Linked DNA regions of Mus musculus. The protein of the gene in region 1 interacts with the protein of each later gene in a biochemical or structural test. Links are inferred from orthologs where the notes say so. Each region holds a gene or a part of one and is shown on either strand. Other genes may lie near its edges.

Evidence for each region.
Region 2: the proteins of Vdr (region 1) and Hr form a complex in vitro, tested with the Homo sapiens proteins (2 studies listed by BioGRID and IntAct). The link is inferred for Mus musculus from reciprocal best matches to the Homo sapiens genes VDR and HR.

Annotation. Positions count from the first base shown.
Region 1 is NC_000081.6:97,900,528-97,915,409, forward strand, and holds the start of Vdr (vitamin D3 receptor), read right to left. Parts: upstream 7,770-14,882; 5' UTR 7,708-7,769; intron 1-7,707.
Region 2 is NC_000080.6:70,546,174-70,561,257, forward strand, and holds the start of Hr (lysine-specific demethylase hairless), read left to right. Parts: upstream 1-8,060; 5' UTR 8,061-8,934; intron 8,935-10,174; 5' UTR 10,175-10,215; coding exon 10,216-10,827; intron 10,828-11,455; coding exon 11,456-12,236; intron 12,237-13,465; coding exon 13,466-13,616; intron 13,617-13,699; coding exon 13,700-13,890; intron 13,891-15,084. Other genes in the region: Reep4 (receptor expression-enhancing protein 4), read left to right, coding at 304-376, 757-1,062, 1,494-1,607, 1,767-1,902, 2,012-2,166, 2,257-2,322. UniProt on the Homo sapiens protein: Histone demethylase that specifically demethylates both mono- and dimethylated 'Lys-9' of histone H3. May act as a transcription regulator controlling hair biology (via targeting of collagens), neural activity, and cell cycle.

The DNA.
Region 1 (14,882 bases):
GCACCGACTGGCTGGAGTAATTACAGACTTGACTGACAGCTAGGGTGGCCCTTGCAACTGCCCAGCCAGCCACATTCTTCAGTCCGGTGGGTGGGTGGCTAGGTGGGCAGCTGACTGTTTATGTATCTACCGGGATGCTGGATACTTAATAACTCCTTTCCGCAGTATGCCCAGGCAGGCTGTTCAACATTGAGAGCACTTGGCTCCTTTCCCTGTGGCAACTTCTCAGCTACCCCCATCTCAGCCCTCCGGCTGCTTCCAAGTCGATAAGTAAGAAAGCTAAAGAAACAAGGTCAGACTCGCAACAACTGACCAATGAAGCATCTCTCTTTCCTGGCATTTCTCGAGCAGCTTAGAAACTCTACAAGGCATCCCATCATAGCCCTATCCTCAGTGCTACCTACGAGTAGTTACTGCGGAGGGGTCACACATTCCGTGTCATTGTCTCAAAATTTACATTCAAGGGAAACGTGTGCTTTCCCCAAAGCATTTGACAAAAACGCAACTCAGTAGGTATTGCACGAACATCTAGTGTAGTCTCGGTGCTAACATTAGACTCTGGGATGAGCTAAAGTGTGGTGAGATTTTAGTAAGCATGCAGACGTGGGGTCAATCCCTCATCCGTTGCTGACGGAAGGCCAGAAACTTAAGACTTTGGCCATACTTAGAGGTCAGGCACAGAGGTCTCAGGATGCCTGGCCCACCTGTCCACAGTGACTCAGACAAGCACCCCCACCAGCCAGAAACCAGGGCCATGACAATACCACCGTAGCTAAAAGTGGCTGCATAAACTTGTCTAGAACAATTCTGTCATTTTGGAGATGAAGTCGATATTGAGTATTGAAAACCAGGGGGGAAAAAGGGACCTTCTATTCACAACCAAAGGGAGAAGTTCGAGGTCTGTCTGTCTGTTTGTCTGTTTGTCTGTCTGTTTGTTTGTTTGTTTGTTTGTTTGTTTTTAATATCAACTCCAAACGTGGGATCCTGCGTGGACCAGTGATGCCTTTAGATGAAGCAGGAAGCAACCATATTATCATTTCACAGTAGCCCTGAACTGAAAACAACGCAGAGGTCTGTCCACAAGAGGGAGGACACACAACGTGTGGCATTTTAACAACGGAACGCTCGATCGCAGCGTTAACTAATGTGTGTCAGTGTGGAAGAGCACGTGGGTCCCGTGAAAAGGCATGTGACAGAGAATGGTGTGTAAACAGCCCCGACGCCATGCGACCCAGCACCGTACACTGTCTCAAAAACACACGTGGAAACTTAGAAAAGAAAGCAAGGAATAACAAACCCAAAGTTACCTCACCCTAGGGAATGACGAGAGGGCTCTGGTAACCAGGGCAAGACCAAGTAAGTGCTGGTTAAGAGACTGTATAGTCTGGGGAGAAGGCACAGTTGGTAAAGTGCTTGCTCTCCCCAAAGCAGGAAGACCTAGTTTGATCTCTGAGTGTCTGCGAGTTGTAATCCAAAGTGGGAGATGCAGACAGACAGAACCCTGAGGCTCACTGCCAGTCTAACTTAATTGAGGAGCCCCAGGACTGGATGGAGTCCCTAAGGTTAACACCAAAAGTTGTCCTCTGGTCTACACGCCTACACACACACACACACACACACACACACACACACACACACTCACACACACACACACACACACATACACACACTCTCATACACACACACACACACAAACACACACACACACAAACACACACACACGCATGCACACATTAAATCTTTTCACATTATTGATTGATTGATTGATTGTGTGCGTGTGTGTTCACCACAACAACATAGATGTGGACTGCAGAGGACACTTGTGGTAATGCATCGTCCCCCTTCTGTCATATGGATTCTGGGGACTGAACTCAGCTTGTCAGTCCTGGTAGCAAGTGCCTTTACCCCGTGATCCTTCTTGTCAGCCGAGACACGCATATACTTTAAAAAGTAAATGCTCTACTCCTAACTTGGGTGGTTAGTATAGTTGCATACCATCTGTAAACATGTTATATATACTCTTGAATGATATTATTTCTCAATTAAAACAAAACAAAACAAAACACAAAAGACGATTGAAAAGCTCGGCGATGCTCCCAGGTTCCTTGTCTCACGCTTGGCAGAATGAGAAACCAGTTTACCACATCTGCATTCAACCATTCCTGAGGTCCCACAGGATCTCTCACAATGAGTTTCTGTGCTATCAATTTGGATTGTTGTTGTTTTATATCCCGGCCTCGATTTCCCCTCTTTCCTCTCCTCCCATGTGCTATCAACTTAGAAACATTCATTATAACCTTTCTTTTACTGTTAAATTCCCGGTGCCTTAGCCCATGTCCACCGAGCAACTGTAGGAGCTTTTCAGAAGTCTACTCTGCCAGGCACTTGACTTTCCACTGTTAGTTCTCAGTAATTCTGCAGCTTGGCTATGATGGCCCTCAGTTTACTGATAATGAAACAGGAATTTGGAGGGATTAAGAAATTTCCCCCCCCCCATGGGTCCCACACAACTGGAACAGGGGCGATCCCAAAGGCTGTTGCCTATATTATACATGGGATATGTTCTTCTAGCTTGGCTGCCTTCAGTGGGAGAGGAAGTGCCAAGCCTAACAGAGAATACCCAGGGGACCCCCACCTGCTCAGAGAAGGGGATGGGGGTGGAGGGAGGATTGTAGGAGGAGGTGAGGGGTGGGGGGGAAGTGAGTGGGATGTAAAGTGACTAAGTAAAAAAAATTAAATTAGAAAAAAATAAAAAAGAAATTTGCCTCCAAAGTCATTAACTAGAATGTGACCAATTCACAATTCTGCCTCTATTTCTCCTGCCCTTCCCAGCTGCTAGCCCAGCCTCAAAGCCTCCTGCGTGCTGGAGGACACTGTTGCCTGTTAATGTCAAAGGTAAGCGAGTTAATGAGCTCAGGAACTCAGCACAGGGCCTGACTGGAGATCTCAGAACAGGCTGGAGTCCATTTCTCCAGGCACGAAAGCTCTCGGGGGTCAGGAGCCTCAGAGAGTCAGTGGGAGCAGGGTGGGGCCAGATAAGGAAGAACAGCACAGATGAGCTGATGGGACAGTGGCCTCTTTAACCTGTTCACCTAGCACTCCACAGCTGTTTGAAACGGAAAGAGGATTCCTTCTACCCTTCCGGGGCACCTGAGTATCGCCGAATTCTGTGCAATTTTTGCATGACGCTAAGTTTCTTTGATGCTTCTGAAATGGGATTTGTATCTAAGACCAGGACAGAGGCACAGAAGTCGGAAGGAGACTTCTGAGACACTACCATCCCCTGAACAACCTTTGACCCAGGGAACTTAATGCTCAGGTCAGCTTGTTCAAACTAGTGAGTGAATCTGACCCCACAGCTCACACACACTGATTACGAGCCTATAACACGGAAGCCAACGGCACTAAGTGTCTGCGACTTTACTGGGAACGCAGAAATGTAGAGTTCCTGGGAGTAACTACTGTAATTTCAGCAGTCCTGACTCTCTGTCTTCACGTTGCAACTCTGCTAAGCCTCAGTTTTTCCATTTGTAGAATGGGCACAGGAATTCTTCCTTCTTAACACGAAAGACCAGGAGGCTGTACCTACTAAGCACATAGCATCGGGTATCTAGGGCCCAGTGGGCCACTGTTCCTAGAGTTATGGTTTCAGCACCAGCAGGTGGCACACACTAGTCCTGTCACCAGCAAAGACTTGAGAGCTCCATAGTGTCTGGAATGTCACACCATGCAGAATACCTTAAAGGTTCGGCTTGGCATTGGAAGAGCAGCGAGAAGCAGTAGCTTCCCGGGAACGGGAGCTTGGTGCTGCCCAAACTCTACTTTCCCGCTGGTACAGCTGCCTACACCCTGCTAACGACAGGACCCTCCCCTGTGCAGAATGAAGACTTTGTGCGGCATCTGGTTCTGAGAACACTGCTTACTTTATTCTTTGGCACGAGACCTGCAGGGCAGGTTCACAGAAGCGTGGCACACACTGAGACTCTCACAGCGCCCTCTGCTTCTTCCTCTAGCTTCTGCTGTTTGCCCACTAGCCACCCTGCCCTCCCCTAGCCAGCTCAGTAGGGAGGGGGGGTTCTCACCACCTCCCCACTCTGTACAGGCAGGCAGGACTTGCCAAGAGGTCCCTCTCCCTCTTTTCATTAATAGTGATGAGAAAGAATGACTTCCGGCTTGCCAGAGTAAACAGTCACCCCACAGTCATGGAGGCTCCCCTCCCCTGTGTCCTACGCCCTAATCACTCACACACTCGGCCTCTGGGGACTCTCCAGAGAGGATGCCCTGAGTATCTGAACCACGAGGCCCAGGACTCAAAGGGAGGGCAGTTTCTCTTCCACATGTCACTACCATAGGATGAGGTCGCTGCCACCAACACCTATAGCTTAGGTTGAGCAAGATGTGTCTGTCCCACCCTGAGCCATTTCTCCAACAATCAGAGACAGGAAGCTCTAATGCTAGCATCCAAGGGTGGCAGTTCTATGCCCGACTTGGTAGCTTTGCCCCAGCTCTGCTTCCTGTCTTGACTGTCATTTTCCTGGATCTTGATTCTAGTTGACCTGTGCCCTTTATCTACAAGGATGAGATCTGAATGCCCTTCCCTTCCTGGTTGTCTACTCTCATTAGAGAGGGACTTCTTTTGGACATGGGAGAGTCCCCAGAGGTCTGGGAAGCTGGAGGGACCAAGAAAGCAGCTATAGGAAACAGGAAAGAGGAAGCATGCGGCCAACTCTTAGTTTAACTCTATCCCAGTTCCCTTGGGGAAGCTAAAGAAGAGCTGGCAGGTCTTCTTGTCCCTTTCTGAGCTGCCGTGGCACAGGAAAAACCAAAGGTAAGGGCAGGATAAGGACAAGCAAAGGACAAAAGAAAGTCATTTCAGCGGTAGGCTGAGTCTGGAGATGAGGTGTCCAGGGGCGTTGCTACCCTTAAGGAAGGCCTGGGATTGGCTGACCAGGCCAGGGATTGGCTGACCAGGCCAGGGATTGGCTGACCAGGCCAGAGAGTGGGCTGAGGTGTTGTGATTGCCCTTGGGATCAGGCTGCCCCACGTTCACCTCAGCCTCAAGTCTCTCCCGACCCTCTTGTCCCTTTATCACTCCGAGTGACCTCTCCTGGGTTTGGATGGTAAGGTATCCAGCTTACTCTGGTTTGGGTTTATGTCTTGGCATAGCCACACACAAAACCCCCTTCACTCACTCATGAGAAACCCAGTTTAGATAATAAATCATAAGTCGCTCTGTGCGTGCGTGTGTGTGTGTGTGTGTGTGTGTGTGTGTGTGTGTGTGTGTGTTCATCGGGCAATGACATGAAGCAATGTTAAGGACAAACAGGAGAGAAGTGTAATTAAAAGTGAGGTCCTGGTAGTCGAAAGCTGCTGCCAGGCTGGCTGCAGCCCAGTCAGAGCCTCCCGAACTGAAGAGCAATGGAAGACAGTGCCAGGGCTGCTGTCCCTTCTGGAGGTTGATTTGGAGGCTGAATCGAGTCAAACAGATCTGCTTTGCTGGCATCTCTTGGGACAGGGGGCTGCCACCATGCTGGGACACACAGAAGGCTCTCAGTCGAATATGGCCATGTCCTTATTCCCTCTACCTGCACCCCAAATGAATTCACAACAGTGGCAAGCAGAAGCCCACGATCCAACTACAAATTAGATCCTGGCACCCCAGCCTTGCTTAGCTGCTGTGTAGACGGTAGGAGCCAAGAGGCTGATCTCAGACAATTTCTAAGATATAGGATGCAACACTCAACAGCAGCATTCTCCTGTCTTGGGTGACTTCTCGGTCTACCTATTTAGACCCTAGGCCTTCCTCTACTGAAAGCCTAGGATTTGCACATCTACAATCTGTGCTTACGGCAGAGGGCCAGGGGGTCTCTAGGGGCTTCCCAGGGGATTCAGTCCCTCCAAGAGATCAGTTCAGAGGTGGGCGGGGGAGGGAGACTAATAGATCATGTTATAAATAAGTAGAGCCCAACGCACCAGGGCCGCTAGAGTATACGCAGACTTATGACTGTGCCTGGAGAAGAGTGGGGGTCGGCTAAGCTGCCCCACTTTCTTCCTTTCTCTCCTTTCCCTTCTCTATCTTGGTCAGGAAGCAAATCACAGTTGACCAGGAGTACTGACTGGGGATTCCTACTTTTTGCAGTTTGAAGCAATGTCCCTGTTGTCCTCCCTGTGTCCCTCACACAAGGTAGAAAAGGCTACGGGTCACCTATTTCTGCTCAAGGGGTCTCTAGTATCCAAAACAAAGGCAGACACTTTCACTCCTACTGTCTCCTGTTCTGGCTGCACACACTATTCTCTCCAGTCTTCAGCTAGAGAAGGAATAGAGATGGCCCCCAAATATAAAAACCCTTAGTTTACAGAGTTGACGGTCCTGGGTCCAGACAACTGCTCTCTGCCCCTCAGAAGTCCACTCTTCCTCCCTAGCCTGGGGAGAGCATTCCTTGCATTTTCTGCTCCCTCGGCCTTCTGATTTCTCCTGCATGCCTGCCTTACGGGACAAGATGGGTACCTGACAAGGTAGAAATGGAACCAGTGCCTGGTAACTCCACAGTACTGGGATGTGCCTCTAGTTCTTAAGAATAGGAAGAGGTGAGGATTTACCACAAAGCCACTGTCTCTTCGTGGCCATCTCCTGGAATCATCCCTTGCCCATCAGCCTTTGCTGACATTCCCCCCCCCCCCACCTCCTGTGTCATGAAGAAGATGGCTTTCCTCGGGGCATCGAGGCAGACCTGAACTCTGTCCAAGGGAACATTTGCAATGCCCAGAAAATGCCTGCCCAACTGCTTGCCTAGGCTCTGGCCCCTCTTACCGCTGCTGGGCCCAGACAGGAGGCTGACTCATTCACCACAAAGAGGAGGAGGAGGAGAAGGAGGAGGAGGAAGAGGAGGAGGAGCAGAAGGAGGAGGAACAGCAGGAGGAGGAGGGTTGCTCAGACTCAGAGAGCCAAGGCTCCCAGAGCCCAGGCAGATTCAGCCTCAGGTAGGGGATAGTCATAGTGGAGACAGTGGACTTGGAGATCACACGCAGATCCTACCTAGATTCGCCTCTTGCATCCAAGTCCCTTCACTCTCCAAACAGAAACTAGTCCTTAAAACCCCTTTCTCAATTTCCACGCTCACCCTCGAGTCCCTCTGGACATCTGTGGACAGGCTCTCCTGAAAGAGAAACCTAGCACACTGGTCTCAAAGCACCGGCGGTTTTAGAAAGGCAAGCACAAAAGGAAAAAACTCCATATAAAAGATTCCACTCCACTATCACTGGTGATCACACATGGCTCCGCGAAGTAATAAACAGGCTCTACACACTCCACCTCCAGAGACCTTAGCACCATCGACAGCCAATCACTCCCTTCTTACTCCTCCACTCCAAGTCAAAGCGCCCGTCCCAGGAAAGAAACAAACGCTTCTTGTTGTCCAGCGCTGAGCACCCTCCTAGCTAAGGACTCCCACGCTGAGCCGCCTGAGCATCGCGGAGGTGGCTGTCCCCTCGCCAGCCTCGTACGAACTTCAGCTTTCTCAGACTTGGGTGCCCTCTCAGAGTCCCAACCTCATGGCACCACAGCCCGGATCTCAGTCGCCAACTTTGCTTTCCGAGTCTTGGACTCTAGCGCTTGCACCCGAACGCTGAGACCTCTAGATCCCAGACGCCTGCCCCGGGTCTAACCACTCACCCAGAACCCCCTTCCCCCTGCACCCCGATCCGCACCTGGTCTGGCGGTGGACACACAGCTCGGCGCTTCCCGTGCTTAGGGCTCGGCAGCAGCTTTTTGACAAGCAGAGACTGCTCAGCACCTGGCCCCGCCCCCGCAAGGCCCCGCCCCCGGACCGCCCTGCCCCTCAACCACGCCCACTAAGTTCAGTCCTCTGAAGCCCTGAAACTTTCTTGACTTGGAATCAACCACTGCACTGTCGCCTTGGAGGCCCTGCCTTGTGAGGGGCTCCAGGACCGCCAGCCACAGTGCAGCACAGGCGTCTGCCTTCCGTGGAACAGTATTTGATGATGTCGTGTGTGCAAATCCACGTTTCTGCCTGTGATGATCCGTGATGTAGCCACCACCCACCCCTGCCGCCGTGGTTCTACCCAATCTGCTGTAAACGCCTCCCCCAGGTGTGTCACCCGTACCTGAGTTGACCCGGGACCCCGACGCCCGCGGCGCGCTGCAGGGAGCCGTTCTCTGCGCGCGCCGGATGGGGAACCTCAGGTGAGTTTCTCCTGCAGGGCGCTCAGCCGGACTCTACTGGTTAGGATTAGCCCAAGAAAACCAGATTGGAGGTTGGAGTTGCGTCCTCTCTCCTACCTGACGTTCTTCTGCTAACTACACCGACGGAGCATGTTCCTGGCTAATTGCATCTCATTCCAGCAAGCCTTGCTGTAGCTTCTGAGGTCTCTGCCTCCCAGATCATCCCTTGCCACCGAGACCCTGGTGTGAAGGAAAGGCACAAAGTTCACCTCAAGACCTGGAACTGTGCATGGCTCCTGAGAACTCATTGTAGAAAAATTTGGATAAAGATTACTCTACTCACACGCTCCGTGCTCCGCAGTCTATAGGGGTCCCTTTTTTGAGTAGGAGATGTATGCATAAATAAACATAAGGGTGTTCTAGAATACAGATACCCCCAATGTCACTGGACAGTTGGTGACCTCCTGTAGTTAGGAAAGATAATGTTTAGGAGGCTCAGTGGGGACAGGGAGGTGGAGAACCCAGTGATTTGCACAGACCAAGCCGTGGACCAGTGGAGGATGAGAGCCCAGCCTGGCGGTTAGTGCACTTCTCATTCCTCACACAGAGGTGTTAGAGTGGAAGAAATACTGCCCCTTCCAGCTCTTGCTGACTGTCCCCAAGAAACCAACGGAGGCTAAATAGAAGAAAGAGCTTCCAGACAGTGGGGTCTGAGGGGAAGCTGTGAGGAGCTCTTTAAGAGACGGTAGTGGAAACATTCTGGGAAGGCTTCAACGTTTTCAGAAAACATGTGACACATGGTGTTTAAACTCAATGAATGAATGGAAGAGGCCTTTTGGGAGCCCTCCCAGGCTGGTGTTTATTCTAAATGAAAAAAGAAATCATTTATTCTAAATGAAAGAATCACTTTCTAGAACATCAGGGGAAAGCTGACTCTCTCAAGAAGAAAAGCACAGGAGGGAGTCTCAACAGCCAACACCTTAGGGCATTTTGAAATCCCCCCCCCCACCCCCAACCCCCCCAACCCCCCCAACCCCCCCCCCCGTGAGCCTCTGCAGGAGGCGATGGAAGATGTGCACCTACATAAGCCATACTGACCTTACTGGGAATCTTTTTCACAGCCGTGAGCTGGAAGTTCACATAGGGTAGCATGTTCTCTGGATGTTTTATTCAACCTTCATGTCAATCTTTCAAGACAGAGCAGCAAAAACTCCGCCCCCCCCCATCTTAAAACTTGGCATTTTTGCAGCTGGGCAATGACAGAACCACTTGAACCCCGTCTTCTTTATGACTGACCTCCATCATTTCACACTGCCTCTCAAAAAAAAAAAAATCCCAAGTAATTTTCACCTATTGGATCACAGTCTAGAAAAACCAACCATGTGAGGAGAGGGGCAAAGAGATAGCTTGGCCATTAAAAGCACTGTCTGCTCTTCCAGAGGACCAGGGTTCAATTCCCAATACCTACCTGGCAGCTCACAACTGTCTGTAACTCTTGTTCCAGGGGATCCAACACCCTCACACAGACATCCATTCAATCAAGTCATCAATGTACATAAAATAAAAATAAATAAATGAATAGATAGATAGATAGATAGATAGATAGATAGATAGATAGATAGATAGATAGATACATGCCCTTGGTGTTAATTAAAGAAAAAAAACAGCCAGGAAGAAGTCAGATGTGCTAGGTTTGTCAAGGTTCTAGGTGTCCTTGCTGTGTTTAACACACTCCGTGATTGGCCCAATAACCACACCCCTAGTGATGTCCTCCGAGACTCCCCCAATTCCCGGACCACCTCCTCTCACCTGGCTCTCCAGACTCTAGTCTCCTCCTTGTCTCTGTCCATCAAACCCTTTCCACCATCTCCCGGCAACAATGAGCCGCTGTAGTATATGTTCCTCTAGCCCAGGGTTTCTCACCTTCTAACAAGATACTTTGTATTTATGTTGAATAAGAATTTGTTCTACCCCCAGCTTTGTTCTCAGAAAAGTAACTTTGTAACAGTGGGAAAAGCAAGATTTCTTTCCCCCTCTCTTCTTCTAGAAAGAAGGTCATTGTCTCCTGACCTCACACATACCTGGGTAGGTCCTGGAAGGAAGGCTACATTCTCAGACTTTCTTTCCTGGAAGCCTTGAGAACAGACAACATTCTCTGGGAACTCTACTTCAGAACTAGTAGCTTTAAATTACTTTAGAGGCAGGTGGATCTATGAGTTTCAGGCCAGCCTGGTCTTAGAGTGAGTTCCAGGATGGGGAGGGATACACAGAGAAATCTTGTCTCAAAACAGAAAACAAAATTCCTCTAGATTGTTGCAGGACCCATGTGCCAGATCCTCTGTGTAAAGTATGAATTTTCTTTTTTCTTTTTCTCTCTAAATATACCATTCTCTATTGTCCTTAGAAGGGTGGTGTTGGTCACTTGGTCAGATTGTCTCTGTTCTGTATTTATCTCTGATCAGTTTTACCAGAAACTACCTAGGAATTCTGTAACTCGGCCATTTAAAAAAAAAAAAGATTTATTTATTTTATGTATGAGTACACCGTAGCTGTCTTCAGACCCACCAGAAGAGGACATCAGAGCCCATTACAGATGGTTGTGAGCCACCATGTGGTTGCTGGGAATTGAACTCAGGACCTCTGGAAGAGCAGTTGGTGCTCTTAACCACTGAACCATCTCTCCAGTCCCTAACTCAGCCATTTGTATATTAGCAAATAACCCCTGCCAGGGACATGCTCTTTGCAGGAGGGACTTCAGGGCTTGGAACCGCCTTGTGCATCCCATAAGGCAAAGCCTCGTCTCTGGTCATTTCTACTAGGCCCTGGGTGTCTATGGGTGGTGTGGGCAGATGTGGCCTGTCGTCAGCCTATGAGACCCCCTTTCCTGCATCCTGGGCAATAATGTCTCAGAGATTGGCTGGCCCTCTCTGAGTTCCTGGCCATGATGTAAGATCCCAAGCAAATCCCTTTGTCTCTGACATTCCCACAGACCCTGTGCTTATGACAGAGGGGTTTCCCTGATAAAAGAGTGGTGCCTTTTGTGCTCTCAATGGACTGCTTCCCTCTGACCATTTGCTTGTTCCCATCCTTGGTCTTTTTCCTCCTCTGTAATATTTTATTGTTATGGGCATGTGAAAAGACAGACAGCAAACAGATGCCAGAAGAAGATGCCCCGAGAGCCACGGAGCTGCAGGGTCATGGTGGCAGAAGGGACCAAATCTTCTCGCTTAGCTCCTCCTTTAGACGCTTTTATGAAATTAAAAGTTTGGAAAGGTTAACTCAGCCGTCTTTTAGGACAAAAGGGATCTGGGACCGTTCGTGTTTGTGTTCAGATGATGCAGATGAAATGAATAAATGGAGGCGCTGCACGCAGAGAAAGCAATTGCACCAAAAGGGCTCTTCCAGGGCAATGGCTTCCAAACGCCAGCGGCTAGCTAGCAAAGACGCACATCCATCATGACCCAGACTGCATGCAGAAACGTTCTCATGAAGCAAGAGCTACACTGAAGTGGGTTCTCTCTGGGTAAGAGAAAGAAAGAAAGAAAGAAAGAAAGAAAGAAAGAAAGAAAGAAAGAAAGGAAGGAAGGAAGGAAGGAAGGAAGAAAGAAAGAAAGAAAGAAAGAAAGAAAGAAAGAAAGAAAGAAAGAAAGAAAGAAAGAAAATTTTTTTAAAAAGTAAAGGTGTGACAGCCCCTAGGTATTGTGGAGGAGGAGGCTTATTGTAGATAAAAGGGAGAGCATAGCGAGAGGCAGGCACCTCTGGGATAGTCCAGAGTGGACATGACCTTGAGCTATGGAGAGGGGTGAAGGAAGGGAGGGGAAGGGAGGGGAAGAAGGAAGAGGGGGGAAGGGAGAGGGGAGGAGAACCACCAACCAAGAGGTGCAGCCTAGGCCAAGAGGATGGGCAAGAGGAGGGTAAACTTAGATTAAAATGTCTGGATTATATAGGGAAGGGTAGCCCAGCCCCTGGACAGAAGAAGTTTAATGTAGGTAGGAGGTAGGGCATGCCTGCTATACCATATAACAGGTAGGGACTGAGGAATGCTGGGAGAACCTGGTGGCCAGGTCTGTTTGACATGTTAATGCATTAATTAGGTTTGAGACCCCCCCCAATCTCTTTCTCTTACTCTCCCTCTCTCCCTTTCTAGATCTCTACATTCTAGCTCCCTCCTCCCTCTAGCTCTCTGTCTCTCTCTCTCTGTCTCTCTTTCTGTCTCTGTCTCTGTCTCTGTCATCTCTCTCTCTCTCTCTCTCTCTCTCTCTCTCTCTCTCACACACACACACACACACACACACACACACACACACACACAAACACACACACTCACACACAGACACAGACACAGACACAGACTAGATTGTAGCCTCCAATCAGGATTTGTTTGAGTTTGCCTTTCTGAGTTCAGCACACCATGGGACACCTTCCCAAGAGCCTGGAACCTGAGCTGAGAGACCAACACAGAATGCCAGAAGCACCATCAAGAATCCCACAGTGGGGCTGGTGAGGCGGCTCATTGGTTAAGAGCACTGACTGCCCTTCCAAAGGTCTTGAGTTCAAATCCCAGCACCCACATGGTGGCTCACAACCATCCTTTAGGAGATGTGATGCCCTCTTCTGGAGTATCTGAAGACAGCTACAGTGTACTTACATATAATAAATAAATAAATTAAAAAAAAAAAAGAATTCCACAGGGGCTCCATGGTGGCATTGGAACTTTGGGGATTTCTTTTCCTATGGTGAACATGAGGTCCCTGAGACAACCTGTGTCTACCAAGGTTTGCTTTCGTGGCCTTAAGTCAAGTGTTACCTGACCACTGTCTTGAGTTTTCTAGCCTTCCAGCCTCGGGCAGCCTATGGCATCTCAGGCATCCTGGCTTGTCCAGCATAGGCCAGCTCTGAGGAGAGTCAAGAGTGAGAGCCACAGACCCCACCTGCTCTAGAAACAGTCAGGTGCTGCCAGGTAGCCTCTGGCTCTAAATCCTTCTGGCTCCACGGCTCCATTCCCAGCAGCCCAGCTCATGTCTTATCCTTGAGGGGTTTGGGCATCTGTTTATCATCTGTTCCCACATCCTCCAGTCCAGGTTGCCTGCCAATCCATTGGCCCGCACACAGTGTCAGTTGGCATGTCCTGGGGGAGTCAGATGGGGAAGTGCAGACTTCTACCTGGATCTCCAAGCAGAGGCAGCGTGGAGCTCTCCCAACCTCCAGGTATTTGCTAGGCTCCTGTCCAAATCTGCAGCAGACAATGATGACACTTCTCCAACCCCCGTAGTCAACCATTAATACTGTTGGAGTAAGTCATAGGCTCAGAACCTATGACTTACTCCTTTCCCATCCAGTTACTGTCTGAGCGGTTTTTTGTTGTTGTTGTTTTGTTTTGTTTTTTTGCAAGGATCATGAGTAAGTAGTCTTGCAGAAGGTGAAGAGAATCGCACTTACAACCCATCTGGGAATTTCTAGTTTGTTCCTCTGAGGAAGAAGGTCTTGTGGAAGAGCCAAGTGATGGAGGTAAGAGGAGAGGCTCTGTGGTTTAGGAATGACACAGATGACAACGGAGTTACGTTACTGTCATAGTGCTGCCAGAGAATTTAGCAGGGGAAAGCTGGCTGCCTTCTAAAATCCCTCCTTGTATAAAGCAGTGTCTCCAGGGAGGGTGGTTGGGCAACCATCTCCCTTCCTTCAAACCAGTGAGCAGAAGCCCTGTAGCCCAGGTCCTGACCACGCCTACGTGTTTCTTCAGAACAGAGAGGACATTCCGTCAGCAGCCCAGGAATGCGTTAAACATCTCTCCCCTGGGGCCCCGACTCCAGAAAGATGTGTCCGTTGACAGCTCCTCTTTGGCCTTCAGCCTGGGATAAGCACACCACAAATCCTGGCTGCCCCCCTCTGAAGTGCTCACTTCATTGTTCTTAGCTGTCAAAGACGTCAGCATGGTTAGAGCTTGTGTGTCTGCTGTCCACGCCCCTTTCCAGCTGGAGTTATTGTGGGTAGGGTGGCAGAGATGTCTTGTGCTGTGCACTGTCGGGGTGTCCTGCCACCGAGAAGTGACCTCAAGATGCTTTCATTGTGAAAACCGACTCACAAAAGAGAAACTGACATGTATGAGTGAAAAAAAAAAGAAATAAAAAAGGGAAGGACATGATTGCTCCTAGGTAGATATGGTGGAGGAGGACGATTATTGTAAACAAAGGGCAGAACATAGCCAGAAGCAGAGGCATCTGAGAGACTCCAGAGAGCACAGGACCCTGAGCCATGTGAAGAGGGCGGGGGAGGACAAGGGAGAGAGGAGAGCAGGTAATGAGGTGCATCAGCCTGGACACCCAAAAGAGTAAATGAAAAAGACTGGGTACCCAAATGGTTAGATTCTATTCTATAGGGAGGGAGAGCTGGGCAAGGGTAACCCAGCCCCTGAGCTGGAGAAGTTAAGGGTAGAGGATGTGATATGACAGCCAGGAGGGGGCTCAGTAAGAACCTGGCAGCCAGAACTGCTTTGATATGTTAAATAGGCACCTCAGCCACCGTTTGTCCTGGCTTTGAGACCTAACAGTGCTCATGCATAGACATCATTTTAAAATGATTACCATTAGCTAAAATCTCTAGTCACGCTATGGGTGGGACTCGTCAACAACAGTAGTGAATATCAGCTCAAACTTCAAATGATATTCTTGATACTTTCTGACCTTTGTCCTGACTCCTCTAG
Region 2 (15,084 bases), on another chromosome or scaffold:
TCCTGGGCCTGATTACGTGTAGTGGGAGCGGACAGCCTAGTGTTCTCACCCACCTTGTGTGTTCTCAGTCTGTCCTGTACCCATGGGCCACCAGCGCAGGCCTAGGCAGGCTTGGTATGTTTGTAAACAGCCGGGTGGGGAGGCAGCCTCCGGGGCACTGACTCAGGCACCCAGGGTTGTGCAAGCCAAGCGGGAAAAACAGGGCAGGCACTGCCATCTCGCACCCAGGTCAGGGGGAGCAGCCACCTGGCAGGGAGAGGGTGGGGCATGGTCCCCTCACACTTCCTGTGACTGCTGTTCCAGGCTCATATTTGGCATGCTGTATCCTGCGTATGCTTCCTACAAGGCCGTGAAGAGCAAGAACATTCGAGAATATGTGAGTGCAAAGAGTGGGGTAGACGACAACATTGAGGAATGGTCAGGGAGGTGGTAGGACTTGGTGATGCTGGAGGGCCTGGCCTGTCAGACTCCAGGGGCTCGATCGATGGTGGAACAGATCTCAAGTAGAGTGGTCTAGTGGAAGGAAGGCCAGCCATTATTAACAATAGCCATGGAGGATCTCGTGGGCGAAGCATGCTGGGGGGGGGGGCACTGGAACGGAAGGCAGTTTCTCAGGGGCTCCTGTCTAAGCAGATGTGGGAAACTGTAGCCAGCAATGCAGTGGGACTGGCTTTGAGGAATCTCTGGGTTGGGCAGGCTGGGGGCGGGTCCTGGCGGCTTAGGCTCGTGAGCTGAGCTCTGCACTCTGACCCACAGGTACGGTGGATGATGTATTGGATTGTCTTTGCGATCTTCATGGCAGCAGAAACCTTCACAGACATCTTCATTTCCTGGTCCGGCCCAAGGATTGGCAGGCCATGGGGTTGGGAAGGGCCTCACCACCACCACCACCACCACCTGGCCTCTGGCTCACACAAACCCCTCCCCTTGCTTACACACAGGTTCCCGTTTTATTACGAGTTCAAGATGGCTTTTGTGCTGTGGCTGCTCTCACCTTACACCAAGGGGGCCAGCCTGCTTTACCGAAAGTTTGTCCACCCATCCCTATCCCGCCATGAGAAGGTACCTCTGAGGGAGATAGAGCAGAAACAGGAGGGTGTGTCAGGGCAGTGTGTCAGAGCGAAAGCCCTGTATCTCAGGTTCAGGCAGCCAGAGGTGCCTGGGTCTTATTCCCTGTCCCTCTATAGTTTTGCTGTGGGACTGTGAAAGGGGTTGGCTTTCCCCATCCACCTGGATGATACATATGGACGACCTTTAGGGTTATGACAAGCCAGCAGGAAGTTGACGTGGGCATGGAAGAATGGAAGGGACACCCACTAAGTTGTGGAGAGGGTGTGTAGTTGGGGAGTCCTGCTTTCAGTTGTTCTGAACCTAAATCTGTGGCTCCTGGGTCCTGGGTAGGGCTCATGGGATTATGACAACCAGTGGCTTCTTGGGGTCTGCAAAGACGGTGGTTCTTTCGTTGATCTGAGCTCTCCGCCCTGGGTCTGCAGGAGATCGACGCGTGTATCGTGCAGGCAAAGGAGCGCAGCTATGAAACCATGCTCAGTTTTGGGAAGCGGAGCCTCAACATCGCTGCCTCAGCTGCTGTGCAGGCTGCTACCAAGGTGCCGTGGGCCCCGGTGATCACAGCGCCTCCCCCGCTCCCAGATCAGTTCTGAATCTTGTGCCCCAGAGATTAGCTGAAGGGCAGCTTCCCCGTTACAGCCCTTCCCCTCGCAGCCCTCCTCTGGAGTTAACAGCGGCTCCCATCCCTCACCTCCTAGAGTCAAGGCGCTCTAGCTGGAAGGCTGCGGAGTTTCTCTATGCAAGACCTGCGCTCTATCCCTGACACCCCTGTCCCCACCTACCAAGATCCCCTCTACCTGGAAGACCAGGTACCCCGACGTAGACCCCCTATTGGTAAGTGGAAAGAGGGGGAGCTGACCTCTCTGAGGACTAGAGGCAAGCTGGGCGTGACCCTAGGCTTGTATAAGTGCTCAGCTTTGCCCTGCGGGCCTCTCTTTGGCAGGATACCGGCCAGGCGGCCTGCAGGGCAGTGACACAGAGGATGAGTGTTGGTCAGACAATGAGATCGTCCCCCAGCCACCTGTTCGGCCCCGAGAGAAGCCTCTAGGCCGCAGCCAGAGCCTTCGGGTGGTCAAGAGGAAGCCATTGACTCGAGAGGTAAGTGTGTTGGAAGGACGGCATGAGGGGGGTGTGGATGGAGCTGCAGTGCCCACACCACTCAAGGTATACTGGCTTTCTCTTCCCAAGGGCACCTCACGCTCCCTGAAGGTCCGAACCCGGAAAAAGGCCATGCCCTCAGACATGGACAGCTAGAGTCTGCAGATTGAGGCCACCTTACCTCTGGAGCCAGCAGGGGACCTTTCGCTGCTACACCAGCTACCGGGGTTCTGCTCCGTCTGGCTTGTGCCTAAATGGCACATGGCGTGGTACCCTGCACAGGGAGACATTCACTATACCAAAGCAGCCCAGGCCTGGGGCCTATTTATTGCCTTCCTCTGCCTTTTACTTTCTCAGACACGGGACCAGAGCCCCACCAGTCCCTACCGACGAAACCAAAAGTCCAACCAGCTGTGTTCATTCCTTCTTGTCCTTCAAAATACTTGACAGCCTTTTCCAAGGCCTGGTGTGTGTGTGTGTGTGTGTGTGTGTGTGTGTTTACGTACACTAGCTGCATGTTTCGTGTTGGTGAGTGAGGTCAGGCTTATGAATATTTTTATATAAATAAATACCAAACAGTGTTTGGCCTCTCCTAATTTGTCTCTTCACATCTCATATTGTAGCTAACAACTCACTGCAGGCTCTGGCAAAGGGTGTAGAGACTGCTGGAAGATCTCTGTGCCCCATCCCAGCAGCAGTATTCTTACAGTTGCTCCTAGGGATCCTTGTGGAGTTAGGGTAGAGCCTGGTGTATTGGCACAAGCCTTTGATTCCAACATGGTTGAGGGGGAGAGGGCAGGAGGATTTCTGTGAGTCCAGCATGGTTTACATAGCCAGTTCCAGATCAGCTAGGACTAGAGAGACCCTGTCTCAAAAAACAAAAAACAAAGAGTCAGACTGATCTTGAAGGGTCAGTCGGGAATCAGTACTTACAGGAAGAGGCAAAGAGATGGGGAGCCTATAGAAACTGTACAGAGCAAACCTGAGGAGGCAGGCTAGGTCTTCCATGAACCTAGAGGAGCCACAGTTCAGTGAACTCTTCCTGTAGACATTCAGATACGATTAGGGTGAATTTGCACTCTAAGCCACAAGAGGGCAGCAGCTGCCTAGGGCCAGGCTGCCCCCACCTTCCAGGTCAAAGTGGGCGGGGCTCAGAGACGAGCCAACGCCTCACCCTGCTGGGGCCTGGATGCTGATGGGGCAGGCCAAAGGAATGATGATAGCCAATGATAGCCCTTGTCTGATGCTTGCCTTCTCCATCCATAGAGACCCAGGCGCTTGCCCTGGGTTGACTTTAATCCATCTCCTTTGATCCCTGGGTCATCTGCCCCTAAAGTAGGAGGCACGTTGTACCCAGGGTCCTCCCTCCTCCCACCCCATCTGTCCTTCCTTCCCACTTCGGAGTCAAGAGTGCTGGTTGGAGGAAAACTATGAGCTGCTAAATTGGAGTGTCCTGTGAGGATTAACTCTTGGTGTAGGGATTATCTGGGTTTTATTGGAGGGGAAGGCACTTAATCTGTGTGGCTGATTTAGCCTGGCATGGACTGGGGTTCAGTGGCTTTTCTCTATGGCATCCCCTCTGTATGTGATGCTGACTCTTACTGCCTCATTACTTCACCCAAAAGATGTGTTGCTAGGAACTGTAGGGGTGAGGAGACAAGGAAGTAGCCGCTATTACTATGATCCCCATTTCCCAAACAGGCACACAAAGGGCAAATGATTTGCCCAAGGTGGACTAGCTAGTAAGTGGCAGGATTGGGCTTTGGACCAGGCAGTCTGGCTCCAGAGTTGATGTTCTTAATCACTATTCAGTAAATGGGCTGTTCCTTGCCTGGGGGCAGGGGCAGGGAGAAGGAGTCTGGCATGTGTGGGATATTTGTTGCTCGCCTGACCTTGTGCTGAGCATTTCAGAGCTGGTTTCTTTGAATCTTCGCAAAGGGCCTGTTGTCCATCTTACAGGTGAAACGGCTTTCTCCTCTATAGAGGTGCTGCCCGAGAGGTGGGCAAAGTCACTTGGTCCTCCTGGGAGGACTGCTGAAGCCACTGTGCCCTGGCTCTGCAGAGCCCACCTCTGCCCTCCCCCGGCCTGCTTTGTTCTCCTACTCCAACTCATACACCTGTCTCAGAACCCTCTGCGCGCATGCCTCTGCCTTGCCTAGCCACTCACGGAGAGACTTCAGCCTTATTTTTACTGTTGTATCCCAGACTACATGGTTGAACCAAGGTGTGATATTTTTATAACTGTGTGATTTGTTGGTGAAATCCTGCTTAGTGTCTAACTTCTGCACTGAAACGTCACCCCTTCCTCTGAGAAGCCTCTCTCACTCCCCAGCATAGGATTAGAAGTCGTGGAGTCACTTGTCACCACGGTCATATCTCTAACTGTGGCTCCCAGCCTCAGCTCAAGGCCTGACACCCATCCGAAGCCTGAAAGAGGATTGTGACTAAACCAACACATACATCAAACATCTTAAACCTCTTCAGGGTGGGAGTGAACTTTTGCTTTGGTGGCTGTGCCGTGTCACCTTAGTTCCACCACACAGCTTTCAAAACACCAGTGTCTCTGGTATGGCTTGGTGAATGGCTGGGTAAAATCACATGGTTACTAAGCATCCTGAGGCCACAGAAAAACAAATGTGTAGAAGGTCCAGGTGGTAGGCATTTCTGGGCAAGCATAAATGTGAGCCAAGACTTGGGGCACTGGGTAGCAACCTGGACATCCCTCAGAACAGCTCTGAGAACTACCCAAACACACCTTCACCCAACACTATCCTCCCCTGGAAAAGAGCCCTGGACCACCACTGATGCTCTGGCCTGGCCTCTTAAAGGGAGGGCATCTGGTCTTGTTCCTACTTTCCAAGGACCACCAACTTTCTACTTGAGACCAGTGTGCCTGGTCTCCTCCCCAGATAGGATCAAGGTTGGAAAAGGACCTGACACCAGAGACCAGTCCCTAGCACATACCTTCTGTGAGTTCTGGTCCCACCCCCACTCCTCAGCTTTTCCTACTCTTCCTGGCCTGTTACCATGACAGCCGGGACTTCCTCTCACAGTCCTTTCTCTCTCCACTTCACCTCTTGCCATCCTTTTTTAACCCTCTGCCTCTGACTCCATCACTGTCCCTCTGACCTGTGGCCCTTCATTAGCCTGGTCACTTTCCCCTTCTCTGGATTCTGTCACAGCACACAGGATCCTGTGGCTTTATTTTTAGCTGCCACTCCCAGCAGCATCCTAAGCCTCTGGGTCCCACACATGCAGCCCTAGCCCAGGCTGAGTTAGGGGTCCTGGCAGGCACTGGAGGAGCTCCAGGGGGTAACTGTTCAGGTTCACATCCCCATTTCTCACCCAGCATCTGAGATTGGTGCCCACTAACAAGCGACCTTCACCGCTGGTTCCTAGGGTTGGGGGATCCTGGGGGCAGAGCTGGCATCGTTGCACACACAGGTCCCAAGTTCAGCCTGGAACACAACGCAGGCTAGATGGCAGTGGGGGAGGGCTAGAGAGAGGAAGGGCTCCAGAAGAGGAATTAGGTCAAGGATGTGGGTGGGTGGGCGAGCGAGCAGAAAGGACAGCATCTACCCCAAGCTTCCTCCTGGCTCCCGCAGCATCTCCACACTTCCCTTCCCTGTCCCCTCCCCCTGGTCCTGGGAGATTTCTTCGCCCTGTATCCCCCTTCCCCATGCCCCCCCACCCCAAGCATGGCCACAGGGGTGGGGGTGGGGTAGGGGGAGGCCAGCTTCAGCTGTCTGAAGGATGGAGGGGCTGGGGAAGCAGGGCTAGGTGCCCAGACGGCCGCGTGTGTGGGAGGGGATGTCCTCAGATGCCCTCCACCCGGCAGTCCCCGCTCTGACGTGGGTGCCCCCCCTCTCCCCGCCCGGATTAGTGGCAGCTTGGCCTGACTCTCCGGGGCTCCTTCCCCCGCCCTGCCTGCTGCCCACCCCTGGGCAGGGGGCTACTCTGCCTGAGGGGTACTGTGCTTGCCCAGGTAAGGGTCTCTGGGGTGGAGAAAGGGCAGCCGGCTGTCAGAGAGTCTGTGCCTGTCAGCAACGAGTGTGTGTCAGCATGTGTGTCAGTTTGTGAGGGGTCGGGGTGGGTGAGGGCTGGGCCCATGTGAGTCTGGGGGTGCTAGTAAGTTTGCCAGGTCCATGATCTGGTCTTGTGACCACACACTGGGTGGCTTCCCCCCCCCCACGAGCGCCCTCCCCCGTGTTTGTGTCTTTTGTGTATGTCCTCAGCTCTGCTCCATCCTCAGGCACAGCACAGCCAGCTGCAAGGACTCTGGCCTGTGGCATAGGCTCTAAGGCAAGGATGGGGAACGTGGTGGAGTGAGGGCAGTACTTCTCCTCACCTTCATCTCCACTAACCCCTAAGCATTCCAGAAGACTGTCCTGAGAGCTCTGGTCTAGCCCAGGCAATATAATCTGACAGGCAGATATGGCGACTGGAGGTGCGGGGGTGGGTATCTGTTCAGCTCCCCTGACACAGTCCCTATCACCTTAGGGGAAGACAGCCACAAGCCCCCAGGACTCAGGACAGCCCCGGGTTCCACTCTGGCCACTACCAGGCCTCAAGCCACAAGACTCTCCCACAAGCCTCTGCTAAGGTAGGCCAGGGAACTTAGATGGGGACCACAGGCACGTGCCACCCCACCACCCTGCCCTGGAGCCAGGAGCCAGAGGTCAGGCTAGACCCCCTGCTGCTCCAGTCCCTGTTAGACCCTCCTCATTCCGCTCCCTCAGCAAACTAAGGTCAGGTCACCTCCAAAGGAGTGGATAAGAAAAGGAGTATGAAAACCCCAGCCATGTAAACAACCCCTGCCAGCCTGCCCACCACAGACTTGGTCTCTGTGAAGGAGAGGAGCAAGGAGGATCTGTATCAACAAGGCCCAAGTCGGAGCAGGCAGCTAGGATGGAAGGACAGACCTCCTCCCCCAAGTACCTATCCTGGTCTTAACAATTGGTGAAAAGCTCCTTGCCTTCACTCCTGTCCCTTAAGTGAAAGACATTGGGCTCTTCATGATACCCCTCAACTTCAGAGATGGTGGAGGGACTTGGGACCAGGCTGTGGCCACCCAAATCCATTCCTTCCACAGCAGTGGGGGGTGGGAGTGAGAGTAAGTGGTGTTGCTTCTGTTTCAGCCTGGGCTCGGAGGCAGGGGAGTAGAGGGGCAGAAGGTGGGTGCTTTTAGAGAAGGGAAGCACCCGTTGGGCGTGTGGGTTTCTGTGTGTGTCTGAATCTGTCTGTCTGTTTGTGTGTGTGCTCTGGAACCACCCCCGCAGAAGAGCAGGGATGCTTCCTCGGGTGGAGGGTGCCCTGTTTGCCCATTTCCTCTCCTACTCAATGTTCCCTCCCAGGAGCCACTCCCATGGGCTCCTCTCCAGGCTGGGCCTGAGAGCACCAAGAACATTGAAGATGGGGCAGCCCAGCAGGCAACCCCAAGTGGAGCTTGCAATGCTTGTGTGCTTCTGGTCCCTTCACCTCTCTGGACACTTGGTAGAAATCAAGGCGCTTAGACCAGGGAACAGACCAGATATCAGGTCAGGCCCTCCCAGATTCCAAAGCATAGTGCTTTGTAACATTGTGCCCAGAGAGGGATGCTGGGTAGGGTCTTGGGCCCCGACACTATGAAGAGTGGCTTAGCCAGGTGATGATGAAGAATGAGGTAGGGAAGACACCAGCCATTGGGGTGTGCCCAGAGCTGAAAAGGACAGGGAGAGAGTGGTCCAGCAGGCACGGGCCTGCTGGCGTGGGTCGCAGCACCCATCACTGACCCGTGAGAACCCGACTGCCCCTGCCAGCTCTGGCACTGACCCCTCCCTGCCGCCCCGCCCTAGCACCCCGGGGGGCACCCCGCCTCATCCTGGCCTGGTCCGGCCCCTCCCGCCCTTTGCTCCAGTTCCCGGGCTTGGCACCTATAGTGGGGGTGCTGCCCGCCTGCCAGGCTCCGGGCCGGGCCCACGGGAGGGTGGGGCGGCTGGGAAGCTGGCACACTGCCCCAGGGGAGCCTCTCTCGGCAGGCGCCCGGGTGCCGCGGGGGGGAGGGGGGAACAAAGGGCTCATTCTCCCCGTGCGCAGCCGGTGGCATCGCCGGGGCGTTGGCGGAAGCCCCCGGGGCTCAGAAGGGGGCAGGCCCAGGCGGGGCCGCCGAATCACGGGCTCCTGTTTCCCGCAGGGTGCTGGAGGAGGAAACCGGCGGAGCAGCTTCCCCACTCTCAGTTGCGCGTCTGGCGATGGCGATCAGAGGTCCTGCTGCGCTCTCCGCTGCGCTCTCCCTCCATTAGCCGCGCTACGCGGTGCTGCGCCCTCGCTGGTGCCTCGCTCCTGGCTCACAGGATCGGCCCCCCACTTCCAGGCACGACCCCCTTCCCCGGCCCCTCGGCCTTTCCCCCCACTCAGCCATCTCCGACCCGGGGCGCGCGTTCCCCCCGGCCCGGATCCTTCTCTCCCTCCGGGGACACCCGCTCCCTAGCCCCGGCTCGACCCTCCCCAAAGCGCAGCACGGAGTCTCGGCGTCCCATGGCGCAACCCACAGCCTTGGCCCAGAAGCTGGTGCGGCCCATCCGCGCCGTGTGCCGCATCCTGCAAATTCCGGAGTCCGACCCCTCCAACCTGCGGCCCTAGAGCGCCCCCGACGCCCGGGGGGAAAGAGAGCGCGAGAGCGCTGAGCAGAAAGCGGGAGAACGCCCCGAAGCCGGCCCATGGGGAGCGAGTACCCAGCACCGGCTAGCACGACCGCCGCCCACACCGCGCCCGGCCTGTGAAGCCCAGGTAAGCGCCAAGAGGGAGCGCGTTCTGGGCTAATTGTAATGGGGGAGTTTATGAGCTGATCCCAAGGTGCAGGCAGGGAGTGAAGTGCCGGTGTCACTCTGAACTGAACCTTACATCTTAACATGGAAAAGTTAGGATGCCCAACTAAGGGGGCTGGACTGAATGCAAGCTGCAGCTCCAAAAATTCTTGGCGCCTCCGCCAAGGCTCACGTACATCCATCCCTCTTGGAGTTTCCTCTGTCCGGCCATGGGGACTACTTCAGGAGACTACAGCTGATCTGGTGCCACCTGTCATCCTGGTCCCTAGCAAGCGTGTTCAATTTTCCCTCGCTTGCGTCTCTCTGGGGCCCAGCCTGCTTTCCCCGCCTCCTTCCCTCCCCCCTCCGGGCTTCAGTTAGCAGCGGTGCCCTGGCACTGCCGTCGGGCTTGGGCAGCTCGACCCACCCTAGTCTGAAACCTCTTAATCCCTTCTCACATGCTGACTCCCATTGGGAGCAGAGATCCTAGCCCCCAGTAGTTGTCCCGGTACTCTTTGAAGATGCCAAGAAACTAGAGCCCATGAAGGGCAGATTCAGACAGCCCAGGGGTAGGGAGACACCAGCCAGCAGCCCTGGCTAGCTGCCCTGCCCAGTGACTCGAGCCTGTCGGGTCTGAACATCCCAGTCTTGCAAGCCTAGTGGGGGCTGAAGATGGGAGCGGGCAAGCAGCACCCCAAAAACCACAGACTGGCGTTTAGAAAGAATCCTCTGAGTTCCTCTTTTACATCCGGGTACACTGAAACCCAGAGGAGAAAATGACCTGCTGGACATCCGAATAGCAGGTGACACAGTCAGGGCCAGGATCCAGTCAGTCTCCCTGTCCTCGCAGCTGAGTGTCTTCTACTGAGCTAACCTTTTGCAGTCTTGCTTTCTATCAGTTTCCAAGACTTGTAACTAGATTCCTAGCTCCACATGGGCAGAGCCTTTCACCCTGGAAGTGACACCCTTCTATTGAATTTGGACACCCCCCCCCCACACACACACACACATTCAGATAGGGGCCAGAATTTAGGAAAAGGTATCAACTTCCGGCCATGAAGCAGAATCCTTTTGGCCACCTGTGGAAGGCTGCTTTGTGCCCTGCTGTGGCCTGACACTTGCTTTACTGGTTTGAGCCACTTTGGTATTCCCAGGGTGGTGCCCATGGTTGAGATACATGGGCCATTTGCCTAAGGGGCTCATGCTTTGTCCTTACCCTCCAGGACCCCCCTCCCCGGGAGAGGCCCATGAGGGCAGGAGAGTGATGGAGAGTATGCCCAGCTTCCTGAAGGACACCCCAGCCTGGGAGAAGACAGCCCCTGTGAACGGCATTGTGGGACAGGAGCCTGGTACCTCACCACAGGATGGCTTGCGCCATGGGGCACTGTGCCTAGGAGAACCTGCTCCCTTTTGGAGGGGTGTTCTGAGCACCCCAGACTCCTGGCTCCCTCCTGGCTTCCTCCAAGGCCCCAAGGACACACTCTCACTGGTGGAGGGTGAGGGTCCTCGGAACGGGGAGAGGAAGGGCAGCTGGCTAGGCGGCAAGGAAGGACTGCGCTGGAAGGAAGCGATGCTGGCCCATCCACTGGCCTTTTGTGGGCCGGCATGCCCACCTCGCTATGGGCCCCTGATACCTGAGCATAGTGGTGGCCATCCCAAGAGTGACCCTGTGGCCTTCCGGCCCTTGCACTGCCCTTTCCTGCTGGAGACCAAGATTCTAGAGCGAGCTCCCTTCTGGGTTCCTACCTGCTTGCCTCCCTACCTGATGTCCAGCCTGCCCCCAGAGCGTCCATATGACTGGCCTTTGGCCCCAAACCCATGGGTATACTCTGGGAGCCAGCCAAAAGTGCCCTCTGCCTTTGGCTTAGGCAGCAAGGTGAGTGACGAAATACAGTGGGTGCATGGGGTTCAATTGTCCCTAGCCCTGAAGACAACCAAACACTGGGCAGCTCTGTCTCCGTGCCTCTTCCCTGCCCTGCCCTTGGGCCTCTGCAACCACTGACTCACCCATAGTTCACCCAGGATCAGGCCTTAGAAACTCTGCCCGTGAAATGTGTGGCCTTATCATGAGGGGCCAGGCATGAGTGAGATGTGTCGTCCTCGTGGTCTGTTTCTGGGGCTCCTTCCTGACAGGCCACCTCACATGCCTAGAACCAGGTTTTTAAATGGTTGGAAGTCAAAGATGGGCATGAGAGTGCATGCCTGTAACCTCAGTACCCAGGAGACTGAGGCAGGATTGTGAGGTCCGTGCTAGTCTCTCTCCAAAAGCAAAACAGGCAAAAGGACACGAGGGTCAAAGCACAGAATTCTCTAGGAGGTCCTGAGGTCCTTTGGTCATGCCAAGTGTTAGCCATTCAGCCTCTGGAAAGCTTGGGAGAAGATTTGGGGGAGGGGATAGTGGGTGGTACCACTTACAGTCTAATTCACTAGTGACTATTGTCAGTCCTGTTTGCTCTTTTAAGTGTAGAGAACCTACACTAGCTTAATCCTTTCTCCTCTTTTAGGGCTTTTACCACAAGGATCCGAACATCCTCAGGCCAGCAAAGGAGCCCTTGGCAGAGTCTGGGATGTTGGGCTTAGCCCCTGGTGGGCATCTCCAGCAAGCCTGTGAATCAGAAGGCCCCTCACTTCACCAGAGGGATGGGGAGACAGGAGCTGGCAGGCAGCAGAATCTTTGCCCAGTTTTCTTGGGGTACCCAGACACTGTTCCTCGGGCCCCCTGGCCTTCTTGTCCCCCAGGCCTGGTTCACAGTCTTGGCAACATTTGGGCTGGGCCAGGAAGTAATAGCCTTGGGTACCAACTAGGACCACCAGCCACACCAAGGTGCCCATCTCCTGGGCCTCCTACCCCTCCAGGGGGCTGTTGCTCATCCCATCTACCTGCCAGAGAGGGGGATCTTGGCCCTTGTAGGAAATGCCAGGATAGCCCAGAGGGAGGTAGCAGTGGGCCAGGGGAATCCAGTGAAGAAAGGAACAAAGCTGATTCCAGGGCCTGTCCCCCAAGCCATCACACCAAGCTGAAAAAGACCTGGCTCACACGCCACTCGGAACAGTTTGAGTGCCCAGGTGGCTGTTCAGGGAAGGAAGAGAGCCCAGCCACTGGGCTCCGGGCACTCAAGAGGGCAGGCAGTCCAGAGGTCCAAGGAGCATCAAGGGGCCCAGCTCCCAAACGCCCATCCCACCCTTTCCCAGGCACTGGGAGGCAGGGGGCCAGGGCTTGGCAGGAGACACCGGAGACAATCATAGGAAGCAAGGCGGAGGCAGAGCAACAAGAGGAACAGAGAGGTAAGGGGGTGATGGGCTGCAGGGGCCCTGTTGAAATGCAGCAGGGCTGGGTCTTTATAAGGGAGTCCGTAGGCCTCTGCAATGGGTCATACTAAGATGGTGGAAGGTTTTATTCCTGAAGCAACACAGTTTTCTGGCTCTTAGTGTTGGCTACCACAGCCTTCTAGCCAGGGGCTTCCATCTCTGCCTGCCTCTTGGTGAGTTATAGGCAAGGCGACGCCACGGTCCAGAGCAGGGGTTCTGGAGACATAGCTGCTTCCTGGCATGCTAATCAGTACTTGTGACCTGGAGAACATGACTTCACCTCTGAGAACCTCAGCTCCCTCATCTATACAGTGGGAACAAAGGTGCTTCCTACCTTATGAAGACAACAGGAAGGACCAAATGGCTCATGGGGACGCTGAAGAACTCATGGCACTTAGCAAACAATAAGTGTCCAATGCCACGGTGATTTGTGCCACAGATCCTAGTTTAGGCATTACCTCTCCTGAAGGACCACTGGCAGCATCTTTTGGCCAGCTGAATCATAGAGACTCAATTTGGACTTTGCAGCAGGACAGCCTTTTGGGTACATCGTGGACTCTTCTGCTACACTGTGTCTGTCACGGAGGGTTCCAGCAATCCTGGAGCCAGACTGGTTTCTGCAGGATCACCTTATTCTCAGCCTCTTGGGCTGCTGGACCCAGGTCTCTGTGACCTGGCCCCTAAAGCCCCTGCACCTGGTGTGGGTCTGTCTGTACCCTTTTGTGCCTCAGTCTGGACTGGGAAGTTGTTGGCCCCTCTGCTGTCTTGGGTTACAGCACCTGTGTTCTGTGTCGAAACTGACCTTCTCCCTTTCTGGAGCCCTCCGACTGCCCATCCGTCCACGTTGGAATCATCTCACAGTGTCACATAGCCACTTAGCCTTTAGCTGACCTACCCAAAGTCTATACTGGCTGGATTCTGCACGTGTACAAGGACCATTGCTCAGGCTTCCTAGAGACTTGGGCTGAACATGCTAAACAACCCCTGAGCCTCCATTCCTACCAGGGACATCTCCAGCTACTGCTCAGCTTTGTGTGTGAAATATACTGGACTGATCCTCTTTCGGGTTCTGAATTGGTCCTCACAAGCCTGGGGTCCAGGGGCTGAATTGGCTGCATGTGGACAAGGGTGGGTGTTAATTCAGGGCTTTGACTAGCATAAGCCCCAGAAACCAGACTCCCTAAGCAACTGTATTGTCTCCCCAGGGCCCCGAGATGGCAGGATTAGGCTCCAGGAGTCCAGACTTGTGGATACATCCTGCCAGCATCACTTAGCAGGTGTCACCCAGTGCCAAAGCTGTGTCCAGGCAGCTGGAGAGGTAGGGGTACTGACCGGCCACTCCCAGAAATCACGTAGGTGAGTGTTGTGTCTGACAGTCAGAGCCAGCAGCACTCCATCCCCACCCAGGGGCTCCCTCCTCAAGCTTCATCCATTTCCAGGTCACCCCTGGAGGAGAAGCAGTTGGAGGAGGAGGATTCCTCTGCCACTTCCGAAGAAGGAGGAGGAGGGCCTGGCCCAGAAGCTTCACTCAACAAGGGCCTGGCCAAGCACCTGCTGAGTGGTTTGGGGGACCGACTCTGCCGCCTGCTGCGGAAGGAGCGGGAGGCCCTTGCCTGGGCACAGCGAGAAGGTGAGCCAATTTCCCTTGTGGGCCTGCTCCTGCATGTCCCTCCCAACCCACGTTTACCAGTGCTTTGGGGTTCCCAGGCCTACTCAGGAGAGCTCCGTCCTTCTTTGTTCCTAGCTATCCCTAGCACGGACTCTTGGTCAATCCTGAGGTTTCTGGCCTCCTGGGGAGTCTAAAGACTTGGTCCAGTCTAGTTCTCTAAGAACAACTGGGCTTATGGAGGAAACAGCCAGTGCAAGTGTCTCAAGAGCCTGGGAGGTGAGGCGACTCCAGAGAGGTTAAGGGCAAGGAAGGTCTCTAGAGTGGTGAGGCTCATGGGCCTCAGAAGTTGATGGGATTCAGGCTGAGGGTCAAGGACCTTCCGCTGGGTCCTCAGATCCTGGCCACCCCTCTGCAGCCCTTTCTAGCAATGGTGTGAACTTCGTGAAACACAGCCCTGGTCCCACATGTCACTCCTTTCATGGAGATAACCAGTGTCACCATCCCACTCCAGAGAGGGAAGCCCCTAGTTTGTTGAGCCATGAGCCAGCCACTCCCAGCCTGGATTCCTGACACACATCACCATCCTTCCCTTCCCGGATCATCAAGCTTGACTGCCCCCTGGGGCCTTGGCACTAGCTATTTCTTCAGTCTGGAATACCCTGGCCATCCCTTCCCATCTGATGGATAAGAGCTTACTCATCCTTTGGGGCCACTTGTAAAGTTCCTGGCCACGTCACCTTCATCTTCCCATGGTCTTTTCAGCCAGGAGCACCACAGTCATCCTTGTGTCTGTGAGTTGTTTTCCTGAGTGGGAATGAGCTCTGGGAGGGCCATACCTATTCCTGAGAAACTGAGTCGTTTGTGCCTACTTGGGACATGATTGGGTGTCCTGGGTGTGTGCAACCATGGTCAACCATGAACTTTGGCTCTTAAAAACAACAACAACAACAAAACCCCACTCCTTTGGGTAAGGGTAGGGGTGGCCTCTTAGGGTTTCCTTTTCTAATCTACTAAGTCCCCTGGACTTAAAGGAAAGGCCATCTGAGTAGCTGCTTAGCCTTTCCATTTTTGGTAGCAGTGGGGCTTGAGGCTGGGGAGGTGAATGGGAAAATGTGCTGGAAGTGGTAGGGACTCAGTTTCTCAGGAATAGGTATGGCCCTCCCAGAGCTCATTCCCACTCAGGAAAACAACCCACAGACACAGGATGACTATGGT